Alligator mississippiensis: one gene and its partners. The protein of the gene in region 3 purifies or fractionates together with the protein of the main gene of each other region. This does not show direct contact. Links are inferred from orthologs where the notes say so. Each region holds a gene or a part of one and is shown on either strand. Other genes may lie near its edges.

What was found.
Region 1: the proteins of MED9 (region 3) and MED23 purify together in Homo sapiens (co-immunoprecipitation; 3 studies listed by BioGRID and IntAct, with this or other methods). This does not show direct contact. The link is inferred for Alligator mississippiensis from reciprocal best matches to the Homo sapiens genes MED9 and MED23.
Region 2: the proteins of MED9 (region 3) and POLR2E purify together in Homo sapiens (affinity purification with mass spectrometry; 4 studies listed by BioGRID and IntAct, with this or other methods). This does not show direct contact. The link is inferred for Alligator mississippiensis from reciprocal best matches to the Homo sapiens genes MED9 and POLR2E.
Region 4: the proteins of MED9 (region 3) and MED21 purify together in Homo sapiens (co-immunoprecipitation; 8 studies listed by BioGRID and IntAct, counting the BioPlex papers as one, with this or other methods). This does not show direct contact. The link is inferred for Alligator mississippiensis from reciprocal best matches to the Homo sapiens genes MED9 and MED21.

Annotation. Positions count from the first base shown.
Region 1 is NC_081824.1:114,295,192-114,302,033, forward strand, and holds the start of MED23 (mediator of RNA polymerase II transcription subunit 23), read right to left. Parts: upstream 3,003-6,842; 5' UTR 2,817-3,002; coding exon 2,757-2,816; intron 1-2,756. UniProt on the Homo sapiens protein: Required for transcriptional activation subsequent to the assembly of the pre-initiation complex. Component of the Mediator complex, a coactivator involved in the regulated transcription of nearly all RNA polymerase II-dependent genes.
Region 2 is NC_081839.1:2,967,285-2,974,778, reverse strand, and holds the start of POLR2E (DNA-directed RNA polymerases I, II, and III subunit RPABC1), read right to left. Parts: upstream 3,013-7,494; 5' UTR 2,951-3,012; coding exon 2,894-2,950; intron 2,360-2,893; coding exon 2,185-2,359; intron 2,048-2,184; coding exon 1,932-2,047; intron 580-1,931; coding exon 499-579; intron 228-498; coding exon 169-227; intron 1-168. UniProt on the Homo sapiens protein: DNA-dependent RNA polymerase catalyzes the transcription of DNA into RNA using the four ribonucleoside triphosphates as substrates.
Region 3 is NC_081836.1:54,494,459-54,501,820, reverse strand, and holds the start of MED9 (mediator of RNA polymerase II transcription subunit 9), read right to left. Parts: upstream 3,015-7,362; 5' UTR 3,000-3,014; coding exon 2,824-2,999; intron 1-2,823.
Region 4 is NC_081827.1:129,464,316-129,471,744, reverse strand, and holds the start of MED21 (mediator of RNA polymerase II transcription subunit 21), read right to left. Parts: upstream 3,009-7,429; 5' UTR 2,954-3,008; coding exon 2,912-2,953; intron 2,655-2,911; coding exon 2,540-2,654; intron 442-2,539; coding exon 341-441; intron 1-340. UniProt on the Homo sapiens protein: Component of the Mediator complex, a coactivator involved in the regulated transcription of nearly all RNA polymerase II-dependent genes.

The DNA of each region.
Region 1 (6,842 bases), on a different chromosome or scaffold from region 3:
GCCCAGTGTGTGCTCCAGCCAGACAGCAGCAGCCAACACTGCCTGGCGCGGCAAGCCCAGAGCCGGCACAGAGCCCAGGCTGGCAGTGGGGCTGGGTTACAAGTTGGTGCTGAGTGTAGGGAAAAGCGGCCCCTTGGTCGCCCAGTGCCCGGCGCCCTGTGCTAGAGCCGCTTCCAGCCCACATGGGGCTGCCTGTGCCTGCTCCAGATAGCCTCATGTGGGCTGCAAGCGCCTGCAGCAGGGAGGGCTAGCCATGGGGTGGACAAGCGGTCGCTTTTCCCCATGCTCAGCACCAGCTTCTTCCCTGCCGGCAAGCAGGGGGTTGGGGCTGTGCGCTGCCTGCTGCCTATACCGCGGGGCTGGGGGGCATTGGGAGTGAGCAGGTACAGGAGCCAGCTTCTTCCCTGCCGGCGAGCAGGAGGTTGGGGCTGTGCGCTGCCCGCCTCCTGTACCGCGGGGAGCGCACAGAGTGAGTGGGAGTGAGCAGATGCAGGAGCCAGTGGAAGCACAGGGCCCACATGGGTGTCCCAGGGCCAGTGTCGGTGGGACCCAGAGCAGGGTGGCAGAAGCGCAGGGTCTCAGTCAGCAGGGGCTCTATGGAGCCGGGCCAACTCCCCACTCTCTCTGCTGGTGAAGCCCAGCCTGGTTCCACAGACTCCTGCCAGCCTGTGCCTCGCTTTGGGCCTCACCAGTGCTGGCCCTGGGACATTGGTCCCAAGACAGTGACCAGGGGGCAGGGCACCTATCAAGGGGCAGGGCTACTCATGCAGCCCTTGACAGCCTGCCAAAACTGGCTAAGTGGCCCTCTGCGCGAAATAGTTGCCCAACCCTGCTCTAGATCTTGGCCAACTATTTTTGCTTCTGCCAGAATTCAACCTTTTCTTTTTGATCTAATGTCCAAAGCTCCTGCGTGGGCTCTTGTGGTCTCATGCCTTCACTAATATAATCCCCACCTGTCTGGTCTTGGTACCAGCCACTCTCCTTAAAACTAGTAAAAACTGCCAGTGGGCTCGTTCTCCTGGCTTGCGGCTGCAAAGGAATCTCTTTACTTTTTACATTCTTTACTGGCACCCCTTGCTCCCCTCCAGCTCTGAACACCAAAACCTTAATCTCAGTACAAATTTAACTTCAATCCACATGATCCTGAGCTGAGGAAAGCTTGTTTTCTCTCTAGATAAAAGTGTGTGTGTGTATGTTTATACATATATGCATACACATATACACACATTTACATATCACACACACACAAATCTTGTGTGTCTACATATGTTTGTGTACACACACACACACACACGTATATACTTGAGACCACTGCTCCTTATTTATTCTGTCATCTGCCCCCACTGAGAAAAGTCTCTCCATCCTCTCTGTAACTGCCTTTCAGCCATATGAAATACATATAGCTTAAAAAAATAAGAGGATGGATGGAGCTGGACCATTCTCAGTAGGGCCAGATGGCAGAACAAGGAGCAATGGTCTCAAGTTGCAGCAAGGGAAGTTTAGGTTAGATTATAAGGAAAAACACTCTCATGAGGAGGCTAGCAAGGCACTGGAGCAGGCAACCCAGAGAGGCACCTTCCAACCCTAATTTTCTATGATTTTATGACTGCATGAAAACAGAGAGAAAGTACAAGCATTCCTATAATCCAAGTTCCCTCACCACTTGGGTTAGGAAAGCTTATGCATTTTCTGGACAGAGATGCATATTATCTGGGGACAGAGTTGTACCGCTACCCAGCACATCCATAGGTGGCAGATAGAGGAATGACCTTCAGGAAATGTTAGCTGCGAAATAAGCAGGGGTAACTGGTGAACAAGCAGTCATGCAGACCACGCAGTGGCAGCACCCCTAGGATGCTTTGAAAGTACTTCCAGTACCCTGAAACCTTACAATGACAACAAGAGACAGAAAAATGGGGCTGGCAGAAGCAGCTTGCGGTGGAGCAAATCGAGAATCTGGAGCCACCTGCACTGCATGGAAACCTGTGCCAGAGCTGCAGCAGAGTCTGTGGATCCCAGGTCGGCCTTGTCAGGCAGCTTTGGACACACAGATAAGAGAGCTGTGGAAGACAATCATCCTCCACTGTGAAGGAGTACCGAAGACACAGACACATATGTGCATGTGTGTGTGCATGCAGCTATGTGTGCACGTGCACACGCATATGCACATGTATGTGTGCATCCATGGGTGTTCATATGTGCGCATACGTGTGCGTATACATGTATGACGCGTGCCGCCTTGAGGCCCAACGACTCTATACTGAGGCAGAACGGCAACAGTGGAGGAGGAAGACGGAGACCAACCTGGGGCTGCGAATCCCACTGCCCTGTGCAGCAACATGCCCCCGTTGCGGAAGAACCTGTGCACTCAGGATGGGGTTCCTCACTCACCTGAGGACCCAGCAAGCCCCACAGACGTCATCCTCGACTCCGAGGGACCGCTGTCTCCGATGCGTGTATGCATATGCCTAAGTGTGCGTGCGTGTATGTGCACACGGGTTTGTACGTGTGTGCGCGCATGCACATGTGTGTATGGGTTTGCATGTGTGCGCGCACACGTGTATGTATATGTACACGTGTACATGCATGCATGAACATGTGTACACATACATGCACACGCGCATCTCTGTCTACACGGATAAGGCCCCGTCTCAGTGCGGGCCCCTCCCCGCGCACAGCCAAGGCCCGACCCCGGGGCGCACAGCCCCGCCCCGCCCCGCGCGAGGGGCCGCGCTGCCGGCCCGGGCCACACTCACCACCACCTCCTCGAAGATACTCTGCAGCTGCGTCTCCATCGGCGCCATCGGGACCGCCATGGCCCGGCGCGGCGGAAGGGCCGGCGCCGAAAGCGGCCCGGCGGCAGCAGCGCCCGCGCCGGTGGTTCCGCAAGAGGCGCCTGCCCACCCGCCCGCTCCGCTAGGGGCGCCTTCTCGGCCTAGCTGCGCGCGCAGGCTCAAGCTGTGCAGCCCGAAGCTGCCGCCGCCGGGGGAGGCGGTCCGGCTTTGTGCGCGGTTAATGAACACGAGGAAGCCGAGAGCTGGCCCCTCCCGGGCACTGACCGCAGCGTGAAGAGGCCGAGCACTGCTAGCTTCGAGTCCTCCAGGGTGGCCCCTCCCCCAGACTTTTATCAGCCTGTCCTATGGGGGCAAGAAGCATTTTGACTCCTCTCTCCCAGGAAGATCAGCTGCTCTCGGGTCCTGGGGTGCTCCGAGATCCCTGGGGTGCAGGGTGGGGCCCCTTACCCCCAATTCACGAGACAAACCCAGGGATTTCAAGCAGGAATCCCTAGCGGGGAGATGTTTCTGCCTGGACGTGGTGGGGCGCAGATGGGGCCTGCACGAACAGGACAGCGTGGGTCCCATGGCAGCCAGAACCTTCTTGAAGAGGCAGCGAAGGGGCTGCAACCTGGCACACTCATGCTGGATAGGACATAGGGGAGAACGTACAGAGTTTTATATAGAGAAAATACAGAGTTTTGTGGGACATTTACCCCATGTAAGATGTTGCAGAAACAGGAAACGATCTCTCTCACACGGATCACTGAGCTGTGTCCAAACAAACTGTAGGACATGGGACCAAATCATCTTGCTTTGGCAAGAGGCTAATACTTTGCAGACTTTGCTGCTCCACTTACTAGCCATGCTACATGAAGGATTTTGGGATGGAACTGCAATGCTGCAAGCTGGAAATGTTATTGACATCTTGGGTGTGAATGAAGACAGATGGAGAGAAAGCGCTTTGGATAGCAAGATGATCCTAATCTAGCCTTACCAACCTTTTGGAACTACAGGCTAAAACAGGTGGGCAATTATTTGGGCCTGTTAGGCACAGAGGGAGTTTTTGTGAGCTGTTGCAGGCCAGGTCAATACCTCCCCTTGCCCTGCCACAGCTCACCAAAACTCCCTAAGTGGCTCCTGAACCGCTGGGCAGTTGGGATGGGGCAGGGAGCAGGACTGGCAGGCAAGGCCAGGGTCATGAGGCAAAATTGCAGGTGGGTGACGGTGTGGGACCAGGGCCAGAGCAGAGCCATGATCCGCTGCCTACAAGGCCCTGAGATGGGCACAAGTTCTGCAGGTAGGGGCATGTGGGGAGCAAATGCGGCTCTGCCCTGGCCCAGCCCTGTGCTGTCACTGCCCCAAGATCCTGGACCTGGCCCCAGATGCAGCCCCATCCCATCTGCCTGTCTTCGTGCCCTGCCCAGGCAGGTCCTGACCATTCTCCATAGAGACCCTGAGGTCACTGGGCAGTGACAGTGCAGGACTGGGGCCCAGGGTAGAGCTGTGATTTGCTGCCTGCACACCCCTGCGATGGGTTCCAGTTCCAGGCACTTGCAAGGAGTAGATCATGACTCTGCCCTGGCCCGAGCCCAGTGTTGTCACTGCCCAGCGATCCTGGGGTCTACGTGAAGACTATGTGGGACCCTCATGTGCAGAGAGTGTGGCCAGGTGGATGGGATGGGGCTGCGAGCAGGCGACTCCTGCCGAATTGTTCTACTTCTTTGTATGTACCCAGCCAAGAGAACCATTTTAACAAGTGAACCACTGTTTTGTCTGTTCCCAGATGCCACCCTTACAATGGTAAGGTATAGGCCACCCATAACAAGGGCTTCCTATACCCCCGGGGTACTAAAACCTGAGCTACCTCTTCTGCCCCCATCCCTTTATCAATTCAATAAAGAATGTTGTCTCTTACCTCAAACTGCATTTTCTGATCTGTGAGCTCGGACTGTATCACCTCTCTGTTTCAGCTAGCCACATTGCTTCCACAGACATGTCAAAATGCATCTTCCTGCTGTTGCTCTGCCTGGAATTGTCCTTGACCAATCAGGCCTTGTATATCCAGTGACTCTTCCATACTTTCTCTTAAAGTTTCTTTGTCTCCCTTTTGTCCTGTAAATCCCTCATCTGGTCAGCTGGAGCATCAGGGCCTTTGCAGCATCCCAGGTTCTATGGTTACTTCCTGCATAACCTTGATATATGGCCTATTCCTGCCTAGTATCAATGGATTTGGTAGGTTTTTAGCTAAACCTACCAGCATGTCATACGTTTTTCCAAGGACCATTAAAGGAATACTTTGCCTCTTATAGGTTGTAGCATCTCCATGCAAACATATCATTGTTATCGCCTCACAGGATTCTCCTACCCCAGGCGGAACTAACTCAGTTCACACCATGGTGTGGGTGCAACCCATATAAACTATTGCAAGGAATGTCAGGTCCCCAGATCTGCTTGCCGGATGATAGGAGGCTGGTGCTGCTGGCTGGGGCCAGCGGTAGCACTGATCTTCCCGGTGCTGGATGCGGGCTGTGCCCAGCGCCAGTCCCAGGCGGCAGCACCAGCCTCCTGTCATCTGGCAGGCACATCGGGGGCCTGTACCCCCCGGGAAGAGTCCAGCATGGCCCTGCAGCTCTCCCAGGGGTGCGGGCAAGCCCCCAATCTGCCTGCCGGATGACAGGAGGCTGGTGCTGCCAGCTGGGACCAGCGCTGGGTGCAGCCTGTGCTAGAAGATCAGTGCTGCTGCTGGCCCCAGCCAGCAGCCCCAGCCTCCTGTTGGGGCCTGCACCTCCGGGAGGAGTCTGACACAGCCCTGCAGCCTTCTGGAGGTTTGGGCGGGCCCCCAGTCTGCCTGCCAGATGACAGGAGGCTGCCTCTGCCGGATGGGACCGGCACTGAAGCCAAGTAAGCCTGGCTTCAAAACTCGAAACGTTTAAAAAATTTCAAAACATTTTGAGTTCCCTTGTCTTGTTTTGAAGCTGTTTTGAAGGCTTTTGTTTCATTTTGATTTTGCTGTTTCGAGCTCGAAAGGCATTGAAACAGCTTCAAAACGAAACACTGGGCAAAATTTCGCACAGCCCTAGTAATCACCTGCTTTGTCTCTTGACAGAGCTCTATATGGCATCTATGCCTTGCCTATTACTAGGGAACCCAGCTGATAGGCCCACTTGACTATCCCATCCTGCTGCTGTGGCCATCCTCTGGAATGCTTCAAGGTATGCCTCTGGGTCCTCCCCAGGAATCATCCAAGTCATGTGGAATTCCTCCATTCTTCCTCTCGGTGCTCTACCAGTTTCCATCATTTTCTCATTCAGAGCCAGCTTTTGGGCAAATAACAGCTTATGGGCTTCATTTTCTTCTGTCCTAGGTTTCATTAGCTCATCTATTTGGTGTTGCTGTCCCTGCAAAATTTGCAGGATGGCCTTGTCGTGGAAACACACACAGCATACTTTTGGGTCAGATCAGCAGAAGCTTTTATTCAAATGAAACTGCAGCTGTAGGGGGGAACCCCAAAGTGGCATGGATTTCCCAAGCACTTGGAATGGGTTTCCCCCCAAGAGCAAAATCAGGAAGCTTATATACTTTTTAACAGTTCACATGATCATATAGTGGAGTTTGCTAGAAAAAGCAGCTACAAACACTAGCTCATTACTGCTTTGCTGTTATCAGGATGGGAATTATGGGGGAGACAAGGTTAATTCACGAAGCGAGAACTAACACTCCCTTTTTGCCCCTGGAAATCAGAGTTTGTACATACTTTTTTCTCCTCTCTTTGAGGCTGCGGTGAGCAAAGCAGTTGCAGAGGAGTTACAAAGAACAAACACTTTCCCTTATCTGCTCTACTATGCAGAACCAGCAATTCCCCACAAAGCAGTTATGTCATCTTATAACCCGTATGATCAAAGTTTAAGGCATTTATTTTTTTTCTGATTCCACAGTCCCCCCTTTGAGACTATTTAGTCTCACTTTAGCCTTAAACTTTTATTTTCATGAGTCCCTCTATTTCATTATGCAGCCTTTTATGTTTTCTTTTAATTTGCTTACACTTTTGTAACACCATTATTCTAG
Region 2 (7,494 bases), on a different chromosome or scaffold from region 3:
AGTGAAGGAAAAATCACCAGTGGGGTAAATCAGCTGGGCCTGCTGCCTGCTCTGCAGGCTCACAGCAAATAAAAGCACTACTGTATACACCACAAGTGTGGTAGTTTCCAGCACAAAGCACATCTGTGCTGGCAGGGGCTTCAGGGAGGCTCAGAAACAAAAGGATACTATCTGGCTAGCAGCTCAGTGACTTCTTCCTTTGTCATGACCACGTGCTCTGGAACCAGCTGCAAGTACAGAAGCAGGGAAATCTCAATAACCCAAGGAGAGAAAGAGAGAGAGAACGAACACATGCAAGTGAGCGCAAAAAACATTGTTTCCTGTAGTGACCAGTGTTAGGAACACAGGCTTAGGAAAGACTGGAGTAGCTATTAAATGCAATGCCAGCACCCAACAGCACAAAAGCACACCGCTCCAAGGGCCTGGAGCCCCCAGACAGCTCCAGGATGTGACTGACCATGCCCAGCTCACACCGATGTACCCAGGCACTGGACTCACCTCATGTTCAGTGATGTTAATCAGCAGCTCTTGCTGGAGGAACTGCTCCAAGATGTACTTGGGAGCCATGTCTACCAGGGACTGAAAGAAAGAGAGTGAACATCAGCATGGGCTAGCAAGCCCAGCGCACCAGACTGAGCTGGTCCCGGGTTTATTCAGACTGGGGCTAGAGTATGCCATTCCCATCATATTGCCTTCGCTACTTCAAGGGCATGCGCAGGTGTGGGTAACAGACCTCTCCACCAGCAGCAGACAGGTGAGCACCACTTCCCCCATCACAGCCTGACGTTTGCCCACTTCTCCCCTTGCTAAGCCTTCTGCTCCCTACTGCTCTAGTCACATTTCCTCTTGTCGTTCCTTGAATCACTCCCACCCTCCTCACTTCTTCTGTCCCTCTTGGGCAGCAACGCCGCGATAAGGGAACGAGTCTCATTCTTGCTGGGATTTTCCTGGCCCACTACCGCAGTATCTGGGCAGTAACGCACTTCACTGCCTGCAAGCTTCGCTGACAAGGAGTTAAGAGCAGTATCTTGTACCTTGCAGAATACAAAGTTTGCTCAAGTCAAACCCCCGAGGGGTAGGAAAGAGACTGTTGCAGGGAGTACAACCGTGGCATGTTCCCTAGGTATTTCTAGCGAGCCGAATCAAGAACCCCTCACACAGCTGATCTGTAAGAGCAGGGTCATCTCTGTGGCATATTAAGTAAGACCCATGGAGAGCCTTGCAGTAATTGCTGATATAGTCGAGCAACCTCCGCTGAATCCAAAGGGTATCTGTGCCCAGCGGGGCTCGTCCAAGGACCGGACTCGAGCACAGGCACGTGCCACGAGTCCATCCCCACTGCACCCCCCCCGAACGCCTCTGGGGCCAGGCCATCGTGTACGTTTGCACGGACTCCTCCGCATCTACGCCAGGTGCTTCTTTGTTTGCTTCGTAAAGGAAACTCACAGGAGCCACTTCCTCACACAACTGCAACCCCAGCCTCTGATGCTGCACCGCGGCCTCACCACACATAACAAGCAAGCGCCTTTCAGGCCATGCCGGCTTTAACAAACAAAAAAGCAAAGCTCAACCTTGCCCCGTAGGGCAGGGGGCGGCGACATTTTTGGGCAGAGTACTGAAAACACTCACGACTCCCAATGTGTAAGACGTCGGGCGGACGGCGGGGGAGCTACAAGGGGCCCAATCCTCGCTGTTGCCGTGTACCCACCATCCACCCAGAGGCCGAGCAAAATGCCCGCGAGCGCCGCCCTCCGGGGTAAGAGCAGTGCCCCGGCCCGCGCGCCGGGCTCCGGTCTCGGCCTCTCAAGTAACGGTCGCCGCTTTTACGGCACCGACGTGCTCCACGAGGTCGCCGCGAAGGAGGCGCGACCCGGCGCGTCGGCCCCCGAGAGCCCGAAGGCCGCCGGCCCCCGGGCAGGGCAGTGGCGCACCTGCTTCGCGGACGGCGTCATGCCCTGCTGCACCACGATGAGGGCTCTGGTGATGTTCTCCTCCTGCATCCTCTGGCAGTACAGCTTGATGGTCTTGATCCCCACCTTGGGCTCCTCTGAGAAGAACAAAAAAAAAAAAAAAAAAAAAAAAAAAAATCAGGCCAGGCGGGATTTAGGAGAAGGGTCCGTTTCCTTTACGAGAGCGTGCGTCCCCCCGCCGGGTTTCTAACAGAGAAGCGCCGCGGAGCCTCACCGGGGAAGAAGACGAACATCTGATCGGTGGGGTCGTCGTTGTGAGCCACCAGCACCGTGAGGTCGGCGCGCCTCGGCCTCCCCTCGCTGGGCTTGTCGCCGTACTGCCCCTTGAACTCGTCCAGCGTCTGGTCCAGCTCGTCCTGCGTCACCAGGTAGCCGCGGTCGTGGCAGAGCTGCGGGGAGCGGGCGCCGTCAGCTCCACGAGGGGTGGGCAGGGAAACTGAGGCACGAGGAGGAGGAGGGGGGGGGAAACTGAGGCACAGGGATGGCAGGGGGTAAGGGAAACTGAGGCACAAGGAGGAGGAGGGGGGGGAAACTGAGGCACAGGGATGGCAGGGGGTAAGGGAAACTGAGGCACGAGGAGGAGGAGGGGAAACTGAGGCACAGGGATGGCAGGGGGTAAGGGAAACTGAGGCACGAGGAGGAGGAGGGGGGGGAAACTGAGGCACAGGGATGGCAGGGGGTAAGGGAAACTGAGGCACAAGGAGGAGGAGGGGGGGGAAACTGAGGCACAGGGATGGCAGGGGGTAAGGGAAACTGAGGCACGAGGAGGAGGAGGGGAAACTGAGGCACGAGGATGGCAGGAGGTAAGGGAAACTGAGGCACAAGGAGGAGGGGGGGGGAAACTGAGGCACAGGGATGGCAGGGGTAAGGGAAACTGAGGCACGAGGAGTGTGGGGGGGGGGGGGGGGGGAGGCCTGGCCCACCTGCATGATGGTCTTGCGGATCTTCCACAGGCGGTACGTCTCCTCCTCGTCGTCCATGCTGCCCCCGCGGGCCGCACTGCGCAGGCGCCGCCGCTCAGGCCCCCGCGCGCGGGTGTCCGCACTAGTCGCCTGCCCGGCACAGGGCAGGCGGCATTTAAGGCGCGCGCGTGACAGGCAGTGCGAAGGATGCCTACGCCAGCGTCTGGCTGAGAGGAGGGGTCCTTAGGAACAAAGGCTCCTGGGAGATGTCGTTCTCCCGTAACAGAGGCCTCTGCCGCCCCCTGCAGGAGCCCCGTGGGGCCGCCCGTTTCTACAGCCGGGCAGTTTTACCCCTTGCGCCCGGCGCTGCTCGGAATTGAATGCGCGAGTCACCCGCTAAGTGCAATTTATCTGTAACACGTCGTCAGGGCCTGGGGTCGCTCGGGGCAGCTGCCAAGCCAGGGGGATTCTCCAGGCATCCTCCCTTCAGATGGATAAGCACCCCCACCAGCGCAGAGCGAGGGTTTGGGGAAGGGGGTTGCATATGGGGAGGTGCGCCAATCCCGTAAGACACGGCGCATCTTTTCTCTCCCCTTTAAAAATATACTAGAAGATTCAGGAAAACCCCAGAGACCGTGGGCGACGTTCATTTGGTTTAAGATGGAGATAAAAGGAAATATCACTCTATTGAAAGGATTTTAAACCAGTCTGCAGGGCTGCGGACAAGGAGCTTCGTTACCAGAAGGCTTCAAACACACCGAATCCGTGCTGAAGTTTATGTCCATCTCCTAAAAGAAGAAAGAAAGTGGGTGGAAGGGGAGCTGTTACCTTTCTCTACCGACCCCGGACCACTAGAGCACCCAGTCGCGGCGCGAATGAGAGTATCTTGCCACCCTGGTACTCGAGGGAAGCCAGTGCATTAGCAAAGGCCATTGAGAGCGTGGGAAGAGCATCATTTTGGTTCGTAAAAATGCAGGGTTTCCACGCGCGCCGTGGTGATCTCGCTCTGCTGCAGCGGTGGAGCGGGGGCAGAACGCACGCTCCAGCGGGGAAAAGAAAGGCAAGGCAAGATTAAGGGGGCGAGCGTTCTTGACCGCTGGCTCGCAGCCGGGGAGGGAGAACTGGTGGTAGCTCCTGGTCCCCAAACGAGCGGAGGATGGACAGGAACCTCCACGGCCTGGGCTGCTTCTTGAGGATCTTATTTCTGCCTCCAGCAATGGATCTCATGCTCTGGAACCAGCTGGAAATACGGAAGCAGGGAGATCTCAATAATGCAGGATCAGAGAAAGAGTGGGCATGCAAGCGATTGCAAAAGCTACTGTTTCCTGCCACACGGGTACAGGAAAGACTGGGGCAGCTGTACGCGGGGTGCGGGCACCAAGGGCACGCTGTGCCAAGGGCTGGGGCCCCGGACAGCTCCAGGACACGGCTGACCGTGCCCAGCTCGCTCCAGTGTACCACGCACCGGACTCGCTTAGTGCTCAGTGAGGTTATTCAGCAGGTCTTCCGCAAAAGACTCCTCCAGGGTGTCCTTGGGAGCCATGTCTACCGGGGCCTGAACACAGAGGTTCTGGGCATCAGCACGGGACAAGCCAGCCAAGCAAGGAGGAAGAGGAAGGGGGGGAAACTGAGGCAAGGCGAGGAGGAAGGCCTCAGGCGAGCCCAGGGCCGAGTCCCGTCCCCGCCGCCCGCGCCGCCCATGCCCTGCACGTGCCGCCCTCCGGCCCCACTGCGCATGCGCTTGGCCGCTCAGGCCCCCGCGCGCGGGTGTCCGCGCTAATCGCCTGAGACCGCCGCCCGCGGCGCGGCGCCCCCAACCTTCCCGAGCCCGCCCCGCCGCCCGCGGGTAGACGTCCCAGGCCGCTCCGTTTATGGCGCGCGGGTGACAGGCGGCGGCAGGGACGCCCACACCAGTCGGCGGCTTTTGTATGTGGGGCCCCAGAAGCAAAGGCTCCTGGGAGATGTAGTCCTCCCATAAGAGAGGTCTCTGCTGCCCCCTGCCGGCGGCCGCTGGCACAAGCCCTAGGGGCTGCCTCGTCGGCCCGGTGAAGGGCGAGGCAGGTGGTTGCACCTCTTCCAGCCCTGCCTTGGGAGCTGGCTGCCTCCTTTTGCCAGCTGGGGAGTCATTGTTATCCTGCAGTCATTCCTTTGCATGCGGGGCTGGTCGAAACGTATTGCACAAATCACTGAAGAACTGCGTCATGTACGTAACGTGTCGCCAAGGTCCTCTGGGCTCCAGCAGCTGCAGAGCCGGGGGGTTCTGCGACGCACTGCCCCCACCCCGTCCCAACTCCCACATCCTCCTTTCAGCTGGATAAACACCCCGGCGCTGGCGGATCCGGGATTCTGGAAAGGGGGTTGCACGTGGGGAGATGCATCGTCCCATAGACCAGTGGTTCTCCGCCTTCTTTGCACCACTTGTTTGCACACATCGACGGCTGGTCCCAACCCAGCGCCCCTCACTCCCGACCCGCTGCCCCCCAACCCCAGCCCCCCGCGCGTGGGGCAGAGGGTGAGTACGCGGGGCAGGGTGGCGTGTGAGAGGTCTGGGGGGGCCCCAAGCAGCCTCTTGCAGGCTGGAGCTCTGCCAGTCTGGAAGGGAACACCCACGCCTCCCTCCTGGAAAGGAGAATCCGTTTTGAAAGTTTGTTTGCAACCCTTTCCTGTATTCTTGCAACCCACTTTTGGGTCACGACCCGTGGGTTGAGACATGCTGCCAGAGACCACAACTCATCGTTTTCTCCAGTTAAAAATCCCCTGGATTTACAAATATGCCGGGGGCCTTGGGCTGTGGTGTTCAGTTTAAGCTGGGAGCTCAAACGCATAACTTTGTTGGAAGGAGTTACAAATGAGCAAACACCAGCTTCCTTACCAGGCGCAGGGAACAGAGAGCCCAACGGCAGAACATGAGCGAGCTTGACTGGTGGAACAGCCTTTTCTTGGTACGGACTGAATACGACGGCACCGAAGGATGGAGCCGGGGACGGCCCTGCTTGGAGCAGGGGTTGGCTTAGATGTGACCGCCCAAGGTCCCTTCCAGCCCTCGTTTTCCATGATTCTGTGAATGGCAAGACAAAGAAGCGAGGGTCGTTAACACCCGGGCATGAAGAGCTGAGAAGGGAACGGGTAGATTATAACGTGATAATCGTGCCACAAAGTGACTCCCTCACTGCTGCCTGAAAAGAAATGCCACTGCTACAGCCAGGCAACTGGTTTTAAACTTCCGGTGCAGCAGGAATCAACGTGGGGTGCGAGTACACCCCCTGGATCCGCCCCTGCCCCTGCCCCCCCAACCCCAACGCACACACTCTTGCTGGAAAATCAGGACCGTTCCCCACGTTTCAAGTGCAACTCTAGGACATAACACCCGTCTTATCTACAACGTTGTTCCTTCCGTTCTGTCCCACCGTCTCGTTCGCTGGTGGCACACGGAGCCAGCAAAAGATGCGAGATCTCAGGGGAACTCAGGGGAAGTGCCTAGGGCAGGGGTGGGCAACACGCGGCCCGCCAGGCCATTCTATCCGGCCCGCGGGGCCCCTAAAAATTTAGAAAATGAATATTTATCTGCCCCTGGCTGCCTGTCATGCAGCCCTCGACGGCCTGCTAAAACTCAGTGAGCGGCCCTCCGCCCGAAATAATTGCTTGCCCCTGGCTTAGGGCCTGAAAAACCTGCCCAGAAGCATCAGGCTAAAACCCGTGGTTAGGCAAATAAGAGCAGTGCCAGCATGTAGCAACGCTGCCTGTATGACACAATGCCTCCATACGCCGCGCTGGTGTTGCAACGGCCTGTTGTAACGCAGGTGCTATCATGCAGGGTTTTAGCAACACGCTGTTTCACAAAGCCCCCGTGTCACAACAGCGCTTGATTGATCATCATCTTAGACATCCTGTTAGCATTTCACCACAAAGTCAAGCCCACCGCGCTGCGGCATGGAGATACTTTTTAACCATAGAAAATCTGATTTATTATGTAAGATGTTATCATCCTATGGCTAGAGACTGCCTGCACAGGAAACAGCTCTCCTGGGGACTGAGCTGCAGCTCCGGGATAACTAGGAGCCATCACGAACGTCAGACTTCCTGCCCCAAACATAAAGGTGCCCGTCTCCGACCTGCCTTTGCTAAGAGCCACAAACGCCTACCAAAGGACTCCACACGCTCCCTGGAGCACGTAGCCCGTACGTGACAGATATTAGTCAAGAGACAGGTAGTTAACCACGTTAGTCTGAACCTAGGCAGAAGGAAGGGTAGAGATGCACCTTACAGACTAGCTGAATCAGAGATGCATACTCTTGCGCGAGCCCAATCTCATGTCATCATCAGTCAGGTTACTTCAGGTGCTGCGGGAAGGAAGATGCATGGAAAGTACCATGCTGGGAACCTATCCCGAATGTCTCAGACATGATTAGCCCATTGCACCATCCCATTGCACACGACGATCTAAATTCCTGCTCCTGGACATGTGTCACTGCACAGGAATGGCCCCGGTCGAGCCCAGCTCTGATGATTTTGTGATCAAAGGAAAAGCTCTGCATGATCTAAACGTGAATGCACCTCCAGTCCCTGCGGCAATTTGAACCGGCTAACACTTCTCCTTCACGGGGCGGGGGGGAGGATGAGGC
Region 3 (7,362 bases):
GGAGGGCAAAGATGACCCTTAATTTGATTCCTTCTCCCATGCCCGTCTCCGGTCCTTTGCCACGTGATGGCAAACAGCGTCCCCTGCTCTGCGAGAGCCAGCCTGGAGCACCCTTGTCCCACAATGTCCAGACTGCGAGCAAGTAAGGCTCTGCCCTGTGCTGCCTTCAGACTGTAAAGTCTTTGGGGCTGGGACTCTCTACCTGTGCGACGTGTCTGAGGCCAAGCTGCCCGTCAGCACGAAACCAAGAGGGCGCGACTCTTTTACACACCAGCCCCCTACCTGGCCATATTAGGGCTCCTTTGTGCTGCAGGAAGGGTGGGAAGAAGCGATCACGTAAGGGAAGATCAGGCCCATGATGTATTGCATGGGGAGTACACAGGTCCCCGCTGACACCGGTGTAAAGCACCTGAGTGGGGCTGCGTTCGAGAGCTGGCAATGCTGCCCTCGGTACTCCCTGCTCTGTGTCTACATGCACAACTTCTGTGCCAGGGCTGCCCAGCCAGGCGTGAACACCCACAGGCTGCACTGCAAGGAGGATGCCAGGGCCAGCCACCATCCAAGAGTAACAAGGACCCTCGGGGCCAAAGCCTGCATCTATACACCGCTCTGGAGTCCGAGAGAAGGGAGCCCGACCCCAGCCATGACCCCGTCCTCGTCCGTCTGTACCAGCCCGGGCCCCAGGGACGCATTCCTGAGCTGGGACTGTCTGTGCTTTCTGGAGCCTGCTCTCCACTGGAACAATTGCAGGCAACGTAAATGCAAAGGAACGCGGCCGAGGACAACGGGTGCAGTGATCAGGCCTGGTTCAGCCAGAGAACAGGCCTGACCTAAGCACCCAATTGTGATGAAACCAGGCCTGTTTCTCGGCATGAGTCAGGTGGGGGATCTGCCAGCTTGCCACATGCTTTCCCTGAAAATCTGGACCGGGACCCGATGAGATCAAGGTTTGCCCCATTAGCCATCTCTTCTGGCTAATGGGGCAAAAAGACCTGGGGAAATGAATGCATCAGGAATATACCTCGCTCACCTTTCCAGGAATGAGTCCACCTCCCATTCGGCCCTGCAATTTCCTTGTTCTACGTCACCTGTGAGATGGGACAATGGCCCCTTCACAGAGCCACGGAGAATGGCCTGGACGGCCCCCCTCGACGAACACAGGTCAGCCAGGGAGCCTCCAGATACGGCTTCACGGGCCGTGTACCAGCCAAGCTGTGAGCTGAGGCTTGGGGCACAGACCCTGGAGCCTGGAGCCATCGGGACACGCGGATGGACTGGATCAGATCGCCTCTGCGGGCAGCCAAGTCCTCCAGGTCCCCGTGCAAGGGAGGGTAGGCCAGGAGGGAGAGCAAGGGAAATCCTGAGTGATCTCCAGGCAGGGATATTAAGGAGATCACTAGTGATCTCTCTGCACCTTGGAGGGTGAAGGGATCCCTTGGAACCACTTCATTTATATACCACCATCGCAGGGAACGGCTCAGGAGGGCTTACACCAACAGACAAGGCAGCTTATGAAAACATTCAGACAAGTAACAGAATAAGCTGTATTTGCCCCAAGATTCAACCCTTTCCTGCTAACAGCTGCCCCATTAAAAATGGTCCCGCATCATTTCCACCAGATGCCCCGGCTCGGGCTCGGGCTTGGGCAGGCCCGGAGGGGAGGAGATGCAGAGCTCAGCCCCCACGGTGCCAGGAGGTTGCTCTTGGCTGACCTCGGAGACCACGCTGGGGTGCAAGGGAGACCGCGGCCCCTTTGCTACGTCGGGCCCAGGCTGTGTTGGTCCAAACCAGCATCTTGAATCGTGCCTGGAAAGCTACTGGGAGCCAGTGCTGGCCCTGGAGGACTGGAGGTCGTAGCAGGCCACCCCACTGGACGGCCACAGAGGCCAGCCCGCTCTCCAGGCCACGAAGGCTGGGATATCAAGGGGGGCCGAGCTGTCTCTTCACCGGAGGGAGGTGCCCAGCCGAGCCAGGGCTGTGACCTGGGGTGGCACGGTGCCCCCTGCCCGCCCCGAACACATCCTGCTGGAAAGGGGCACTGGGGTGATCCCCGGGGTCACTCTAGGGGAGGGATGAGGACTGGAGCCCCAGTGCACAGCGGAAGGGGTGCACAGCTGGAAGGGTGCACAGCTGGAAGGGTGCCCTGGTGCACAGCGGGAGGGGTGCACAGCTGGAAGGGTGCCCTGGTGCACAGTGGGAGGGGTGCACAGCGGGAGGGGTGCACAGCTGGAAGGGTGCCCTGGTGCACAGCGGGAGGGGTGCACAGCTGGAAGGGTGCCCTGGTGCACAGCGGGAGGGGTGCACAGCGGGAGGGGTGCACAGCTGGAAGGGTGCCCTGGTGCACAGCGGGAGGGGTGCACAGCGGGAGGGGTGCACAGCTGGAAGGGTGCCCTGGTGCACAGCGGGAGGGGTGCACAGCTGGAAGGGTGCCCTGGTGCACAGCGGGAGGGGTGCACAGCGGGAGGGGTGCACAGCTGGAAGGGTGCCCTGGTGCACAGCGGGAGGGGTGCACAGCTGGAAGGATGCCCTGGTGCACAGCGGGAGGGGTGCACAGCGGGAGGGGTGCACAGCTGGAAGGGTGCCCTGGTGCACAGCGGGAGGGGTGCACAGCGGGAGGGGTGCACAGCTGGAAGGGTGCCCTGGTGCACAGCGGGAGGGGTGCACAGCGGGAGGGGTGCACAGCGGGAGGGGTGCACAGCTGGAAGGGTGCCCTGGTGCACAGCGGGAGGGGTGCACAGCTGGCCCGGGTGCCCCAATGCAGAGCGGGAGGGGTGCACATCTGGCGGGGGAGCCCCCCCCCGTGCCCGGCGGGAGGGCGATTACCACTTGATGACGCCGTGCACGAGCGGCAGGAAGGAGAACTCCTCGCGGCCCGGGGGCGGCGGCGGCGCCGGGGCCGGGAGCGGCAGCGCGGGCTTCTGCTCAGGCGGGGGCTCGGCGGGCGGCGGCGCCGGGGCCGGGGGCTCCTCCGCGGGCCGCGCGGCCGCCCCGCTCGCCATGGCGGCCCCCCCTCCCCGCCCCGCGCGGCGCCGCCAATGCACGTGTGTGCGCCGGCCCCGCTATTGCGCGTCAGCCGGGGGCGGGCGCAGCTCTGCGCGGCACGGCACTGCACTACACTGCACTGCAGGGCCTCGGCGCGCCTTGCTGCAAATGCGTCCTCGCCCTGCAGAGCCCCCAGGGCTTGGCGCAGCCGTGCAGTGCACGCATCTTTGCATCGCGGGGGCGCCGTGCAGCGCACTGCATTGCAGAGCCCCCCCCTCCCCCCGGGCTCGGTGCAGCCGCGCGGGCAGCTCTGCAGGAGGCGCCCAGCCAAGCTGCTGCGGGAGCGGGGGCCTGGGCCTGGGAATGGGGGCTGCACCCCAGCAGTGCCCATCCATGTCTGGGCAGGGAGCGGGGCTTTGTCGGACCCCTGAGCTCGTGTGAGCCCAGTGCTCCGCCAGAGCAGCTCTCTGGCTCTCAACTGGGGGTGCGCCATCCTTGCAGGGGGGTTGCGCAACGTCCACAGAAGCTTTACTCATTTTTCTAGGGCCCCAGGGCTGTGCTGTTCAGTTCAAGAGTCAAGCAAAAACATGTCACTTCACTGGAATGGGTTTAAAACGATGGGCACAGCTGTGAAATAGGAGCTCCCTGCCCAGGAACAGCTAACAAGCTGCAGGATTGCAGAACAAAGGCTGCCTTGATTGGCTGGACATCAAAATCATCCAAAGAAGAGAGGGTCAAATGAAGAGTTTAGCAGGGATCTGGTAGATGAGAGCGAGCCTGAAGTCGAGCGACTCCCGCAGCCCAGACTGCCACAGCCAGGGAGATGGTTTTAAACTTTGGGTGGGAGAGGCATCGACAACCTGCAAGTGGTTCACAAGATAAACCCAGACATTTCAAATAGGAATCCCAAGTGCCAGAAATAGTCTGAGTTCTTTGCAACAGAAGAATTGCTCTGTTATTTTTCCAGAGACAAAAAACCAAGTGAAAGCTGAGAGCTGGCATTTTCCAAGAGGCACCTTGAGTCCACCGAGGTGGCTTAAGGGCTTTGCGGGATGGGATGGGACGGGGCGGGGCGGCCTCGAGACCCGGATGTTCTCAGGTGTTTAGGCACTCATCCAGCAAGAGTTTGGCCATGCTAGGCTCCTTTCACCAACACAATCCCAGTGCTCCTTTGCATTTTTTAAATCAAGCGGCTAAACTAAGGGACTTTTGATGCTGGCTGGAAAACAAACGATGGCTATATCTGTTTCCTTGCATTTGAGAAGTAGTTTGGTGACCTCATTTCGGGGTATTTCAAAGGGCCACGCTGAATTTCAGAGGGTGGCATCTGGGCGTGTTGTCCTGGGTACTGCAGTGCTTTGAATCTAGTGCTTGTTTTCCTGAGCCCTGTAGCTAATGGCAAAGAAGCTATATTAAGAAAGTTGATAGCTCAGTTTTGATAAACGCATAGTCAGACAATCAATGGAGCATTTGATGATGTGCACATACACAACCCCCCAATTTAATTAAGGAGCACAGGGCTTTTGATCTATTTGTGCAGTTTGAATTACCCTCTGCGCTTTCTCCTTTAGGACTCATCTCAGAAACCCTGTGCAGACGTGGAGGTCTCCGTGCTGTGGGGTCTCCCTGTGCCGAGCTCAGAGAGATGCAGCCGTTTGGTCTCACTGGCTGGTCTTGGTCTTGAGTCCCACTGACTTCCCTACAGGGGGGTAACACCAGCTACTCCATAGGTCTCAGCTCAGACCTCTGTAAGGCCTTGACATTCACTCCTGTCCCTACTGCGGTTGACTTGTGCCCTCTGGGCCCCTTCCTGGATGAACCATCAGCTGGCAGAAGTTTTGTCTGGCTACAATGTGCCATGAACGGTGGGGCTGGATGTCTCAGGGGAAAGATCGGATATGGGACATGGACCACAAAGCATCTCCAGGGCTAGGCTTCACTGAGCAGCCAGTTCGATGGGAGGTTGAAAGGACCATAGGGGCTAAACTGCTATTTTAGCTGCCTTCAGTGGTCTCTCCAGCTCCGGGTCGGACAGCAGGTCAGCAGCTCACACAACCTGCCTAAGCACAAGACAGTTTGGGGACTAAACTTGGCATGTGGGCTCCTGCATCCCTCCGCCCAGAGCTTTGCAGATGCTTTTGGTTCATCAACAAAAAAAACGGGAGCTAGCAACAATACTAGCAAAGGGCTTGGCTAGCAAAGTTATAACAGCTCATAGCAGCTCATGCGTCTCAAATTTAGTTAGTCCTAAGATGTATTTCTACCCTGCCTTCAGCCCAGGCAAGAGATTGCAGCGGGGTGGATTGCAGAAGGTCACTGCACCCTGGTTGTGCTAATGGCATTGACATGCAGTTGACGATGCCACGGTTTTTCTCCATATAACTTTGTTTGCCATCCTCCAAGTCCCGAGACTTTAAAATGTCTCAAAGCTGCCTGATCCTTCACATCTTATAACCATCAAACAAACTAATTTCTCTGCCAAAGGGTTAGTTAACCTATTTTCCCCAAGACCAGCTGACCAAATAATCCTTATCTTTAGCCTCCTCCATGATTACCCCTTTTATTTCCTTTTACATTATTAATATGACTTCTCTTTCTGTCGTGCCATTATAAATTGCTCCCCCTCGCCTCCAAATGAGACCTAGTTTCAGAGCTTGCTTTGTCTTTGGATTTGCCATTAGTCTTTTAATTCATCATCAGTCAATTCCTTTTGTGGCTTGCCCCACTTTCGTTGCCTACCCTCGCTGGCTTGCTTTGGCTGCCCACATCAATGCCATGATGACTTTTATTATATGCCCATCATCATGTTGAACTTTATCTTGTCTCGCTGCCCCAGAATCATCCTGTTTGTTATCTTATTGGGCTATGTTTAGAGATCATTCATCTGTGGTGCTGGCCTAAGCCTAAAAAAATGCAGATATGGCATTCATTTACTCAGCGTTCGTCTTCCAGACGTTTTTCTGGATTCTGGGGCTGATCCTGCTTCCATTTAAGTCCATGATAAAACTCTTGCTGACTTTGAATGGAACAGGCTTGGGTTTCTGGAGACTGTTACTCACAGTTCGTAATGCCCCTACAGCAGGCATTTTCATGTGGTTTCTGATATCCCCAGCTTCTGATGGGACTAGAAATACCCGTCTTACCCACTATCCTGATGGTATTTTGGTATTTCTGTCCCCAGTTTCCCTAAGGGGCAGCCATGAAAAGGCAGGGATAATAAAGAAGTAAAAGTTCACAGAGCTTTTAAAGTCTTACAGTCCCCTGCGGGAGTTGGACCCTTCCTATCTCATGCTTCTTCATTTTGCAAGTCTGTGATGTTTTCCCCCTTGTATGTCTACATGGCACCTGGATCAGACTAGAAAGAGAGCTTCTAAACCAGGAGAGGGAAATGGGTCCAGAGACCAGGTTGTCAAAGGGAACTGAGTAATCCATCACTGAAGTCATTTCCCAAGAATTCAGCGGGTTCATGTACCCGGTACTTCCCAGTTCACAGTGATAAACCAGGCTGACAACTCACTTTATAGACCTGGAAGCTCAGTCCTTCAGAGAGCTGCTTTTGGATGGCCGGCTGCAAGAATGCATGGGGGAGGGGGGAGTAGAGTATCCCCAGCCCCCCAGGGTTTGGTCTCAGGAGAACACGAGAAGCTCCGCGCTCTTTCAGAGGTCTTTCATAGCCAGGATCATAAAGAAATAACTTTGGTTTAATGTTTAACAGGCATGAAAACAGCAGGGGCCGGCCAGCCAGAGCCTTCCAAAACACTACAGCAGCTCTCCTTGTCAAATTGAAATCCTTCCAATGAGAACATGTTACACGAGCATCCACGAACTCTTGTACTTCAATGCAAATCCCTTCTGCCACGTGTGCCATAGGTGCTATGCTGGGGACTCAGAGCATGCTAGGCACACAAGCAATTTCTGCCCATGGGTGAGTACAGAGCCAGTCATCCAAGACACCCATGCTGTGGCATGGAGGACACATGTCGCATTCAGGGACCCCTGGAGCATGCATGTTAAGGACTGTGCAGCCCACAGGTGTGCTGGGAACTGCATAGCAGGTTTTTCTCCAAGGAGGCAGCGGGACAGGGATGGCTGAGCCATGCAGGGAGGAGGTGGTGTGACCCAGACGACTTTGTAATGCACACTGAGAAACAACCACGGGCTGCCACGGGTGTGAGAGCAAAGTAGTGCAGGTTGCTCCACAGTGCCCCACAGCTGCAGAGGCCAGGCCCCGGGGCAGTGCTTTAAATGAGATCAGATCTGAGGACAAACCTCCTGACTGCAAGATCAGCCAGACAATGGGACAAGCTGCCTGGGGACGCTTTGGCATCTCCTTCACTGGAGGCTCTTAAGAGGATACTAGGTTGGCACCTGTCTGTTGGG
Region 4 (7,429 bases), on a different chromosome or scaffold from region 3:
TAAACTATCAACAATTGAAGATGCCAGGTAACTTCCTAAAGTAACATTAGGTGGTGGTAAGAAGAGTTTCTTTGGCACTGTAAGAAAGTCAAAGCAAGTTCTACATATCTTAGTGGTCTTGGATGCAAGTCTGCCCACCCTGTTTCAAGTTCACCTACACAATGTCATCTTTTCAGTATATTGCCTGAGATTTACAGGTTCTCTTTTGAAGAGCTGAAGTTCATTTTAAACAATATGCAAGATCACATCTTTTACATTAGTTACTCTTTTGAGATGTGATTTAATGCGATTAAGAAGCATTTTTGCAGTGTTTCAGTATTTTGGCTTTCAACTTTCTTACCTGCAAAGCTGCTGTTGATTCTTCACTAGGTAACGAATCTATCAAAACATCTATATCCTTAGCAGTACGAGCAATCAATGCTGCAAAGAGCTGGGCATATTCTATTAAAAATAAATAAGAATTACTCTAATATACTATTTTTAGCTCTTTTCTTCGGAGGACCTGTAATAAGCTGGGGGCACATTTAAAGAACTTAAATCCATTTCAGACAAGCTGTATTTACTTCTAAAAATCAAGGAAATGTCAAGCCTTAAGAACTTCCCCATACAAGGCAGCAATAGCATGGTACATTAGGACAACTGAATCACATTGAGCACAGATAAAAGGCTAAAAATTCAGACTATTCACAAATAAAGGGCTAAAACATCAGATTAAATATAGTTGTATACAAATAGTGCTCCCATAACTATATGAAGTTGCAGCAAGAACACGAGTAGGGTTTGCCATTTCGTTAACTGTTAGTTAACAAATGTTCAGGTGTGCAACAACCTCTGTGCAGTATAAATGCTGCATAAATATGGTGAAAAATTTAAAGAAACAACTAGATTAAAAGGTTTACTGCTACTGTGTTAGAATTTTAGCACGCTGAACTTAAATGCCTTTAAAAACTTTGCTATCCATATGTTTAAAAGAATTTGCAGCTTAGAACCCAGATACCTTTGCTAGTGATAAGACTTTTAAATTTTGGTAAAGTATACAACTCCTCTATTAGTTTTAAAAATTGACTTTTATAATATTATAAATCCAGTTAACAAGTAAAACAAGACTACAGTTAAAAGGTTGTTAAGGAGATCTGTAGGTTTTTCCTGTTTACTTTGTGCATCTGACATATTTTAAGTCACAACCACTGTTTCCAAAAAACAAACAAACAAACAAACAAAAAACAATCACCAAACAATATGGAAGAGAATAAAAACAAGCCCCACACAAAAAAAAAAATGGTGACTAAGAACATACAACTAATACTCTGGTTAAAGATTTAATACACTTTAAAAACCTAATATATTAACACATTTTCCATGTCTAATCAAGTGTCATTTTGACAATGTTTGTTTCAATAGCCCTGTTCACATGCTTTTGTACCTTAAATACAAAAATGAGTACTCTGCAAACAGTACTTAAAAACCTTCTTGCTTTCAAGGACATTAATATTAAGAAGAGGCTAGTCTGGCATTTTCTAGTGTGTTTTGCACAACCTTTTCTAACTAGTGGCCAGATTAGTACATGCTATAGTAGAATGTGCTTTGGCCAGAGTTTAAGGCAGAGGTGTCAAATGCATCCACCCCTGCAGCCAGCTGAGTGTCTATGAGTTACTCTGTGGACTGGACTGAACTAGGACCAACCCCCTCCCCCTGCCCACCCTTCCCGTGGAGTAGCGGCAGTGCTGGGTCCAGCTCATGCACCACATGCAGCATATGCTAGCCCCTGGAACTGGCACGGGGTGGCCCCAGCACTGCAAGCAGGACAGGAAGTCAGTTCAGGGTGCTGCCTGCAGCCCATGCCCCAGATTCCTTGTGCTGCCAGCAGCTCTGGGTCCAACCCATGCACTGTAAGATCAAAGGGGCCATTTGCACATGAGCATAGGGACCAGCATATGCTGCATGCAGGGCTGTGCATGGTTCAGTTGCCCTGAACTGCAGCACAGCACCATTGTGCACTGTGCTAGCCCCACTTGGGATCCCCAAGGTCAAGCCTAACCTGATTTCAAACATAAAGCAAAAGGAGATTAATTTGAGAAGTATTTTTGGTTGTGCACCTAGATCAGAAGAGATCCCACTTAAGAAACACATGGAACAAAATTAGGGCTGACCTGATTGTTTAAACACTAAATATTTTAAACTGCCTCTTCCCTGAAACATAACTCTTGCTTTGTCCTGCCATTACATATTTTAGAGCAGAGAACAGGATGGTTCCCAGATACCATCACACTGGTATTCCAGATAGTATGACCATCAGGATGGTAACTCTGCAATGGCTTAGTGAGGAATAACCCTACCGAGGCTAGGGGCTGGACATGACAACCTCAGGGTCCCTTCAGCTGCCTTTCCTACAATTCTACCAACTCCAGACAATGTTACTTACATTTGCGCTCTTGCAGAGACCCAGAACAGATCTCATCCAGCCCCTACCTTCACTGACCCCTGTGTGTACCAGCGAGCTGCCCCGCCAGTCAGAAAAGCTGCACAAGATGTTTTTTACCTTCCGTAGGATTGGCTGGCTGGTCCTTGTTGAGGGTGGTCTGGATGTTGCTGAACGAGGCAGGTGGACCGCATTGCTGCAGCACCCCAATAGCATTGCAGAACTGGTCAGCAAGCTGCAAGGCGCACAGCATGCAATGCTTAGCCACGGGGCCCAGTGGGCAAAGTCAAAGCCGCTACCCTCCTCACAACCCCAACCTCTTCCCAACCCCCACCCGAACCTCCCCTCCACCAGACTCTCACCCCGGGACCCCCTCTCGTCCCCCTAAGAGAAGATCCCCCCCGATCCACGCCCACTGGTGGGGGAGGGGGGAGCGGGACCAGGAGCCACCCGGGCTTCGGCCGCCCGGCACAGCGTGGCGCAACTCCTCACCGAATTCACCGCGTCTTGCAACTGCGTGAGCCGGTCCGCCATACTCTCACCCTAGCATCCTGCCCACCCATTGGTCAGCGCCTAAACGCGACGGCGCAGCCAATCGCAGCTCCCAATCTTAGGTGGTCAGGGAGGGAATGGGAGGGGGCTGGGAGTAGAAGTGGCACGGGTGGAGTTGTACATACTTCCTTTTCGGGTCTGTGGTTCGGGTTCCGCTAGGAGGGTGTCTTGGCTGCTGGGGGCGCTTGCTCCTTGCTGGCGGGAGGGTACTTGCGAGGTCTCTTAGCCACCGAGGGGCTCGGGCGCTGCAGGGCCTGTGCCTGGGCCGGCTCCTATTGAACTCGAGAGGAAAACACCTCGGAGGAGCGGGATCCTTTGGGGCTGGACGGACGGGCCTGAGTTCCCTACCTTAAGGAGCCCTCTGCTATGCAGATAAGTAAACAAGCGGGGCTGAGAGATGTACTCTCCCCGGGGCTTGCGTTTTTTCCAAAACCCGCCCCAAATCATAAGAATGAAGTTGTTTGCTTATTCCAAATTCCTTATTCCCGGTGTGAGGTTCCTTTTTCAAAGCTAATCTAGACCCAATAAAAGCTTGTTATTAATGAATTGCACATCCTAAAGAGGGATAATTTCATTAGCTATGCACATGTACTATTTCATATGTAAAATAATATCGCACCTCAAGTACAGAGCCCTAAATGAAGGTCAGATTAGGATAGGATCATGGGGCAAAATACTTCTTGGGCCACCACAAACTTCCTGTTGATGCCATTGGGGGACTGTCCCAAGAACCCTGACCACAGCACGGTTTGGCCGTGCCAGGCTGCCAACTGACAGCCCCCATGCCCGCTATACTAAGTATAAATCTTGAATAAGGAACTGGTTTTTGGGCTGGGATTATAGCTAGAAAATCTGCTTGGGCCACCCATCAGAATACCTCTGCACGACTGGGGGACTCTATCGGACAAGTAAAATATGTGGTCAGGGTTCTTTAGGACAGTCCCCCAGTGGCATCAACAGGGAGTTTGTGGTGGCCCAAGAAGTATTTTGCCCCATAATTCCATCCTAATCTGACCTTCATTTAGGGCTATGTACTTAATGTGGGATATTATTGTACATACGAATTAGTACATACACACAGCTAATGAAATTCTCTTCAGGATGTGTAATTAATTTATAACAAGCTTTTATTGGGTCTAGATTAGCTTTGAAAAAGGAACTAGGAATAAGGAATAGGGACCTGGGAATAAAGAATAGGGAACTGGAAATAAGCAGCCAACCGCAGCTTCATCCCCAAATCACTGTTTCTTACAGCAATATTTGCCTGATATCACTATTTCTTACACCATTTTCCACATTTTGTTTCTTAATGCCTTGCGCCACACGCACTTGAGTCTGCCAACACACCTGGGTGTGGGCATCTCTAGGAGTTTGAAAAAGAGGGTGAAGTGCATCATCACATACAACACAACATGCATTTCTCTCCAGGTAATAAACTAGGAGCTTTAGCAACAGGCCGGCGGCCCAGGGCTGTATTACGCCATTTAAAATTGAAGCAAAAACAAACAGAACTTCACTGCAATGAGTTAAAAACAGGCAATTGGAGGAGACCCAGGACCTCCAAGCAGACGTTGAGACTTTGGGTGGGGTGATGTGGGGGGGACTTGCGTTATAAAGATAAAACAGACCTCAAAAAAAAAAAAGGAAGACCATAAGTTATCTCTTACCAAAAGGCCTGCATGGAAAAGATAGCAACATTAACATACCACCAGTTCTCAGAGCTAACATCACAACTGCCCTTCTGGACGTGTGCCTGGCACCTGTGCAAAATGCTCGAGTGAGGAAGTCAAGTTCTGCTCTATTACATTTGTGTAAATGATTAAACAAAATTGCCCCACAACCCCAAAAAGATTTTTTTACCTGAAGGTATTCACCATGGAACCAGCCAGGACCCTAAAATAAATGGTACCTCTGCATTTAAACATAAACAAGCATTTAAAAAAATATGTACATATAAAAAAAGAAGCAACGATTCCTTCCCCTCCCGCGTTAAGGAAGATGTAACAAACAGAAATGCTGCTCAGAAAAAACTTTGTTCACAAACGCAGTCGCTGAAGTTTCAAGGCACTGCCTCGCTGTTGGCATACCACCTCAGAAAAGCCACTGGCACTTTATCATGCATCAGCAGATGCATAACGAATAGGTCCAGGGAGGTGATACTTCCCCTCTATCGGGCGCTGGTCAGACCGCAGTTGGAGTACTGCGTGCAATTCTGGGCGCCGCAATTCAAGAGGGATGCGGATAACCTGGAGAGGGTCCAGAGAAGGGCAACTCGTATGGTCAAGGGCCTGCAGACCAAGCCCTACGAGGAGAGACTAGAGAAACTGGACCTTTTCAGCCTCCGCAAGAGAAGGTTGAGAGGCGACCTTGTGGCTGCCTTTAAGTTCATCACGGGGGCACAGAAGGGAATTGGTGAGTATTTATTCACCAAGGCGCCCCCGGGGGTTACAAGAAACAACGGCCACAAGCTAGCAGAAAGCAGATATAGATTGGACATTAGGAAGAACTTCTTCACAGTTCGAGTGGCCAAGGTCTGGAACGGGCTCCCAAGGGAGGTGGTGCTCTCCCCTACCCTGGGGGTCTTCAAGAGGAGGTTAGATGAGTATCTAGCTGGGGTCATCTAGACCCAGCACTCTTTCCTGCTTATGCAGGGGGTCGGACTCGATGATCTATTGAGGTCCCTTCCGACCCTAACATCTATGAATCTATGAATCTATGAAAAACAAACATGCAGAGCTGTGAAACAGGAGCTTCATGACCAGAAGCAGCTACCAGGTCATAGCTGGATGGACTGGCAGAACATCAAGGCCATTCAAAAGGAGAGGGTCATTAACACCTGTGGGATGAAGAGTTTAGCAGCGATCAGTAGGTTACAATGAGCCATGAAATCAATGGACTCTTTCAGCACTGCCTGACTAGCGACCCAGATCAAGGACAACAAAAAGTCCTTTTTCAAATACATAGGGGGCAAAAGAAGGTGCCAAGTAACGTGGAGCCTCTGCAGGACACACTAGGAAATCTCATCATCTCGCCTGATGGTAAAGCTGACATATTCAACAATTTCTTTGCCTCCGTATTTCTGAGGAGGGACCCGGATATCTCCCCCACTGGCCCCCCCAAGGGCCCTGTGGGTGGCATACCCAGGCCTAGGGTTCATGAGGACCTTGTCAGGGAACTTTTGGAGGGACTAGATGTATTTAAATCCGCAGGTCCTGATGATCTCCACCCTAGAGTGCTGAAGGAACTAGCAGGGATCGTTGCGGGACCTCTGGCACAGCTCTCCGAGCACTCATGGCACTCAGGCGTTGTGCCGGAGGACTGGAAAAGGGCCAATGTGGTCCCCATCTTCAAAAAAGGGAGGAAGGAGAACCCAGGAAACTATAGGCCTGTGAGTCTTATTTCGGTCCTGGGGAAGCTTTTCAAAAGAATTATCCTGGCACATATCCAGGAAGGGCCAGCAGGGGAGGTTATGCTCAGGGGCAACCAGCGTGGGTTCATTAGGGGGAGGTCTTGTCAAACCAACCTGGTGGCCTTCTATGACCAGGTCACCAAGTCCTTGGATGCAGGTGTCGCAGTGGATATAGTCTTTCTGGACTTCAGCAAGGCCTTTGACACGGTCTCTCACCCCATTCTCAGTAAGAAACTAGGAGACAATGGTGTTGATGTCTACATGGTCAGATGGGTCACTAACTGGCTGGAGGGCTGCACCCAGAGGGTGGTGGTGGACGGGTCTTATTCGACCTGGAGGGATGTGGGCAGTGGGGTTCCCCACGGCTCGGTCCTTGGGCCCGCACTGTTCAACATCATCAGTGAGTTGTGCGAGAGGGTAGAATGCACCCTGTTCAAGTTCGCAGATGACACTAAGATGTGGGGTGAAGTAGGTACGCTAGTAGGAAGGAACATGCTGCAAGCTGATCTAGACAGGTTATAGGGGTGGGCCGAAGAGAACAGGATGGGGTTCAACACTGACAAGTGCAGGGTAATGCACCTGGGGAGGAAGAACCAGTGGCACAACTTCAGGCTGGGGAACTCCCTTCTCGCTAGTGTTGAGACAGAAAAGGATCTTGGAGTCATCATTGATGCCACAATGAACATGGGCCGACAGTGTGGGGACACAGTCAGGAAGGCGAACCATACCTTGTCGTGCATCCACAGATGCATCTCAAGCAGGTCCAAGGAGGTGATCCTCCCCCTCTATGCGACACTGGTCAGGCCGCAGCTGCAGTACTGCATCCAATTTTGGGCGCCACACTTCAGGAGGGATGTGCCCAATATGGAGAGGGTCCAAAGGAGGGCCACCTGCATGATCAGGGGTCAACAGGGCAGGCCCTACGAGGAGAGGCTGAGGGACCTGAACCTGTTCAGCCTCCAAAAGAGAAGGTTGCGAGGGGATATAGTGGCAGTTTACAAACTAGTCGAGGGGGACCAGCAGGCATTGGGAGAGTCCCTGTTCCCCCG